Linked DNA regions of Macaca fascicularis. The protein of the gene in region 2 purifies or fractionates together with the protein of the main gene of each other region. This does not show direct contact. Links are inferred from orthologs where the notes say so. Each region holds a gene or a part of one and is shown on either strand. Other genes may lie near its edges.

The links. The genes of interacting proteins can lie anywhere in the genome.
Region 1: the proteins of MAP1LC3A (region 2) and CLTCL1 purify together in Homo sapiens (affinity purification with mass spectrometry; 3 studies listed by BioGRID and IntAct, with this or other methods). This does not show direct contact. The link is inferred for Macaca fascicularis from reciprocal best matches to the Homo sapiens genes MAP1LC3A and CLTCL1.

The regions. Positions count from the first base shown.
Region 1 is NC_088384.1:33,664,048-33,666,601, forward strand, and holds the end of CLTCL1 (clathrin heavy chain 2), read left to right. Parts: intron 1-658; coding exon 659-734; intron 735-1,226; coding exon of another isoform or gene 1,227-1,246; exon of another isoform or gene 1,247-1,266; intron 1,267-1,494; coding exon 1,495-1,634; 3' UTR 1,635-1,998; downstream 1,999-2,554. UniProt on the Homo sapiens protein: Clathrin is the major protein of the polyhedral coat of coated pits and vesicles. Two different adapter protein complexes link the clathrin lattice either to the plasma membrane or to the trans-Golgi network.
Region 2 is NC_088384.1:90,598,309-90,601,841, reverse strand, and holds MAP1LC3A (microtubule-associated protein 1 light chain 3 alpha), read right to left. Parts: upstream 2,160-3,533; 5' UTR 2,009-2,159; coding exon 1,948-2,008; intron 1,640-1,947; coding exon 1,584-1,639; intron 1,501-1,583; coding exon 1,394-1,500; intron 1,125-1,393; coding exon 962-1,124; 3' UTR 524-961; downstream 1-523. Other genes in the region: PIGU (phosphatidylinositol glycan anchor biosynthesis class U protein), read left to right, coding at 1-12. UniProt on the Homo sapiens protein: Ubiquitin-like modifier involved in formation of autophagosomal vacuoles (autophagosomes). While LC3s are involved in elongation of the phagophore membrane, the GABARAP/GATE-16 subfamily is essential for a later stage in autophagosome maturation.

The DNA of each region.
Region 1 (2,554 bases), about 57 Mb from region 2:
GGGCACATTCTTGTTTCTCTTTCTTACTCAGTGTGTTTGTGAGGGGATCTTAGCTGCACAGTTGCTGCCGCCCCTCCAGTGCAGTGCTGCCGCCTCACTCTCTGGCCATGGGTGGGGTCAGTGTCTGGTGAAGCCTCAGGGAAGAGTGAGGAGGCAGTTTGTCCTCAGTACTTCTCAGGTGAAGTGTCTAGGTGCCAGGTGACTTGTCTCTGAGAGCCACATGATCTCTCTGCTGGTTTGGAGGGGCGGGCAGACTAGACTGACTGGATTCAGCAGCAGGCAGTGTTCCCTGCACATCCCAGCCCTGCAAGTCAGTAAATGGCAGTGTCCCTGTATCCAGAGGAGGACTTGGCCCCCCATAAGCAGGCCACACTCACAGCCTGTAACAACTGACTGCCCCAGTCCCCACTGGGAAGCTCTGGGGGCCCCACCTTTTGCTCCATCTCAGCCCAGCTACTGAGGCTTCACCTCTCCATGCCTTGCTGCATTATAAAAGTGCATGGGGTGAGGACTGAGCCACTCCACCTCTGCCCATGTGCACCTCCTCCACTGTCATTCTCCTGGAGGCCCTGTGTCCTGACCTTCCACTCTACTTTCACCTAGAGGCCGGGACTGCACTCTGTCAAGCAGGTGCTCACATGCTCTCGCCTCCTTGCAGGTGGACAGACTGGATGCCTTGGAGAGTCTGCACAAGCAAGAGGAGCATGTGATGGAGCCGGCCCCTCTCATGTTTGGTAGGTGTCACCTGTAGCCCCCAACCCCCTGGGGAGGGAGAAGGGAGGGAGTCAAAGTCCCACTGCCCTTTCCTGGCTGGGCTTTGAATGAGGATGGGAATAGATGGGTGGGGGCTGGAAGGATCCCACTGGCTGCTGGGTGTGGAGATGTGTACGTCCAGGAATGTTGGCATGGCCACTGTCCTCCCTGCTGTAAGGGTGCCTGCCTTCCGATGGGGCTGCCTGCCTAGCTGTGAACTGCTGCTGTGTCCTGCTGGGCCTGGCCCCTGGGCAGCAAGGCTGTTGCTGGTGTGTGCTGGGAGGAACTTTGCACCTGAGAACCTGCCCAGGGCAGCCTGGCTGTCGAGCAGACTGGAGAGACTGTGGGGTGCTGGGACACTGCTGGGTCAACGCAGGCCTGAGGATGTGGTGTGAGTGTGTAGCATGCTGGTGGGTCTCAAGCCTCCTGCTGAGTGTGTCCCTCCACCATTAATGCCATTCTGGTTTTTTTAGATTTTGATGGGCATGAATGAGACCCAGCTGATTGCACTAAGTAAGTGTCCCATTTGGGGACTAGCTTATCCTCTAGCCAGGCCAGCTTCTCTGGCTGACCACACACTCCTTGCCTCTGGGTGCCTACTCTCTCGGTGCCTCAGCTTCTGGGTGGTAAGGGCTGGTCCTATAGACCCTGCTTCCTGGGCCCCAGCTACTCAGGGTAGCCAGGAGAGGACCCCCATGGGCAGGAAGAGCTCTGCTCATTGTGGGCTTTCCCCCTCTGCAGGCCAGCAGCTGAGGTTGATAGCAGGCCCTGCCAGCTTCCCCTATGGATATGCCTGTGCTCCCAACTTCACCAGCCTCCAATGTACAACTTCTGCGTGTAGTGGGCGCTGTCTCCACCCACTCTACCTGCAGAGTTACTAACTTCTCCAAGGAGTGTGTCACTCCAGCAGCACAGGGGACCGCAGTGGGAGGCAGGGACACCTGGACAATATTTATTTTTGGTGAAACCCAATGATGGCAACCTCTGAGCCATCCTAGAGCCTGGGGAGGCCAGGGTAGAGGCTGACAGCGCAAGACCATCTTCAGCCGCCAGCAGGGTCTGGACTCTGGGCCCTCCTGCTGGAGCCAGGGATTCCTCCTGGGCGCCCCCGACTGGCTGGAGCTGCCCCCTCCAGGCCAGTTTGAAGACTACGTGAACACGTCTTGTTTGGAGGTACCGGACCTCATAACAGGACTCTGAGCCTCCTGGCAATCTGAAATATTAAAGTCGGTTTATCCAGGCAAAGGTGCTCTGCTTGGTGCTGGTGTGGGTGGGAGGGACAGGGGCCAGTTTCCTAGGCCCCGCAGTCCATTAAAGATTTGCTGGGCCCTCTGGGGGTGTGGGACCTGCGCCCAGAGAAGCTGCCTAGGAGAATACAGCCGCTTGCATTTGGGGTCTTTCCGGACCTTGTTCGCTGAATGCAGGAACTCTAAATCCGGGAAAGGTGTGGGTGGAAACCGGCAGGTGAGTCCCAGCCCGTGGCCGCTGCGGGAGGGGGACCCGGCGGCGTAGCCCCTTCTCACTGGCCACCCGCCTTCCTCCTCCAGCTTCGAAACGTTAGAGTTCCTCAGGAACTGGGCTAGCCCCACGTGTTTTCGGGGAGGGTATGCCCCTGGCCTCCGGGATCCCCGGGGATCCCGCTGCTCTCGCCAGTCGCGCAGACCCGAGGCCCGCTTCCCTGCGGAGCGGCATACTGTGCACCTTGACCCATAGCTCGGGGCTGGGCCACGGCTCCGCTTCTCGCAGCCCCGCCTCCCGCAGCCCCGCCCCCGCCCCCGCCCCGCCGCTCGCGGTCGCCCAG
Region 2 (3,533 bases):
GTGCTCAAGTAGGCCTGGCTGGCACAGGGCTTTGTGGACCTCAGGGGGCTGAGGGGCCAGAAGCTGGGCCAAGCCCTCCAGTCAGAGTTGCCAGCAGGCGAGTGCTCGGGCAGAAGAGGTTCGAGTCCAGGGTCACAAGTCTCTGGTACCAAGAGACCCATGGCTGATAGTAAGGCCTGTGGGGAAGAACTGGAAGCTCCCCAACTTGGACCCCCCCACTTCGTGGCTCTGCACACCAAGGAGCCCCCTCCCAGGCAGGAAGGAGAAGAGGCAGGTGAGCAGGGCTTGTTAGGTTGTAGCTACTTAATAAATGTTTTTTGTTATGAAGTCTACCCTGAGACCACATCTGCATTGCACTCCTAGAGGGGTGGCCCCTAATGTTCTGAACACTACACACAGGTGTGGGTTTCCACAGCAAGCACTGAGGCCACAGAACACAAGTCTGTGCGCCAGAGCCCGGGGATGGTGCAGACAGCCCTACCAGCACCCTTCCCACTCCCAAGCAAGCAGCTGGAGGCACAGGGCCAGGCAGGCCTGAGCAATCTTTATTCTGCAGAGGGACAATGACCACAGATCCATACACCATGTGGAGACCGAGGGGCGGGGAGCCAGGGGCCAGTCTTTCAGGGGTGGGCAGGTCCAGGCGTGGGCAGAGCCTTGGGTGGGTGAGGGGCAGATGGGCAGACAGGCAGGGGCCTAAAAAAAAGATGAACCACACAGCGGGGTGCTGGGGGCTGCTCCCAACCCTCCCCCATCCCAGCCAGCACCCAGAGGGACAACCCTAACACAACCGGCCCAGGATCCACCCAGGGGCAGAGTAGGTGGGTTGCCCTCTGACTAGGGGGGCACATGCCTGCCCAGCCCACCACGGCAGAGGCAGCTCAGTTCAGGAACCAGGAGCTCTCTGGGCAGGGCCTGACCGGGCCCCCCCCACTCCCAGGCCGACCCCCCTACTGCTGGCTCAGAAGCCGAAGGTTTCCTGGGAAGCGTAGACCATGTAGAGGAAGCCGTCCTCGTCTTTCTCCTGCTCGTAGATGTCCGCGATGGGCGTGGACACGCTCACCATGCTGTGCTGGTTCACCAGCAGGAAGAAGGCCTGCGTGGGGTTCAGCTGCAGGCGGCGCCTGAGGCAGGCGGGAGAGTATGTGGCTGTAAGGGGCTTGGCTACGGGGCAACGTAGCCCTGACCCCCAGAATGATTCCCAGCCTTTTACACCCATCCTCACCCCACCTGTCACCTCTGACCCGGCACCGACTGCAGCCCCGACCTTGACCTTTCCAGCCGCCCCAGAACAGGGGTCCACCACCGGTCCCATCACCCCTGACCCCTTCTCGGCGGGAACCCGTCTCCCTTCCCGACCCAAGCCACCACCTGGCAGCGGCTGCCCACGCACCGGATGATCTTGACCAACTCGCTCATGTTGACATGGTCCGGGACCAGAAACTTGGTCTTGTCCAGGACGGGCAGCTGCTTCTCACCCTTGTAGCGCTCGATGATCACCTGGGAGCAGGGCGGGCGGGCAGGGGGTTGTGTCGGGGACGCGCGAGGCGGGGCCGGGGCAGGGCTGGGGGCGCAGGACTTACCGGGATTTTGCTGGGGTGCTGGTCGCGGATCTGCTGTACCTCCTTACAGCGGTCGGCTGCGGACAGCGGCCAGACCGTGAGGCCGGGTCGGCCCGGCCCAGGTCCTCCCCACGTCTCCGCCTGCCTGTCCCCAAGGGGCGGCCCCCGGCCACGCCCCAGCTCCAGCCCCCGCCCCCGGGGCCGTCAGGCCCCACAGCCCCTGGCACCTATCGTGGTGGGGAAGCAGGCAGCCCCCGCCCAGGCCGGAGCCAGCCTCCCAGCCCGAGGGTCCAGCCGAAGCCTGACGTCACGGGGCTGACGTCACCTGCGGCAGTCTGGGTCGGCCGGGCACCCCCCCTCCCCGGCACCCCTACCCCGAGCTCACAGCTCGCCTGCCGGGCCTCACCGAAGCTCCGCCGCTGTTTGAAAGGCCGGTCGGAGGGCATCGCGCGGGCCCGGCTGGGCGCGCAGGCCGGGGCTCTGGGGCGCGGAGATGTGGCTGCGGTTTGGGGGCTCCGGGGGCTCCGTGCCTCGCGCTCAAGGGCTCCGGCGCTCGCGCTGAGCACGGCGGCGGCGGCTGCGGGAGGTAACTCGCCCGGTGACGTCAGGTCACAACATTCCTTAAAGGGGAGGCCGGCGCGCAGCTCCCATTGGGCCGACGCACAACCCGCCCGCCCGGACCCGTGACGTCACGGCGCAGAGAGCCTGGGTCCCCGGCCCGGGACACAAGGGGCGGGGCTCCTGGGCGCGTCACAGTCCCGTGACGTCATGAGCAGCGCGGGAGCCTCTCCCGTGGCCCCGACTCTGGTGAGGCCGGGAGAGCGGTGGGGCCGCCCTGGGCCGATGGAGCGGGTGGGCCAGGCTGCAGCCCCGTGGCACCACTTCCTGCCCTCACCGAGTCTGTGTCAGGACTGACCCGCGGTTCTGGGCACCGTGGGAAACAGCGGGAGCCAAAGGCCCGGCGCCTTCAAGGGGGCTCAGGGCAAGAGAAGGGAGAAGGTGCGGGAGGCACAGTCAGACACAGGATAGAGCAAGACGCTAGAAATGAACGCCCAGGTTTGAAAAAGAATAATATAATTGAAGAGTAGAGCTATCGAAATTCAGGTCTCAGAGGATGTGGCAAGAAGGCAGAGCAGGACAACAGAAGAGAAATCGTGGACCTGGAGGCTGATAGCAAGCAGCTTACCAGAGGACAGGTGATGGAGAATTAAAAGGAAAAGGCCACGGATGGCAACGCCAGGAGAACTCGCAGGCCGGAGCAGAGCTCCACAGGCGAGCACTGAAAGACCTGCAGAGGCAGTTCCTGAATGAGAGCTGCCAGAAATGATGCTTAAAATCCAGAGCAGAAGGCACAGACCGAAGATCAACATCTTTTTTTTTTTTTGAAAGGGAGTCTCGTTCTTGCGCCAGGCTAGAGTGGTGCGATCTCAGCTTACTGCAACCTCCGCCTCCCTGGTTCAAGCGATTCTCCTGCCTCAGTCAGCCTCCTAAGGAGCTGGGATTATTAGGCGCCTGCCACCACGCCTAGCTACTTTTTATGTTTTTAGTAGAGATGGGGTTTCACCATGTTGGCCAGGATGGTCTTGATCTCCTGACCTCGTGATGCGCCCGCCTCAGCCTCCCAAAGTGCTGGGATTACAGGCGTGAGCCACTGCGCCCAGCCGCCAAAATAATTTTTAAAGAATGTACTTCAGTATCAAAGACATGGAACCCAAAAGGAAGAAATTAGATGGAAAAATGGTGAGCAAATTAGTAAACATGTCAGTAAATCTAAACAAGTATTTAATATGCAACATGAATAATGGATAATCTGTGGGCCACAGAAACAAGATGCATGAGACAGAAGAACATGGGAGACTGAGAGGGCAATCAGAGTTAAGGTGTTTTAGGAAGTTCGATTTGAGAGGGGGATAAAGAGACTAAGCATTGTCTGGCTTTGTAAAGTCAGGTGTGTATTTCAGATATTTAAGA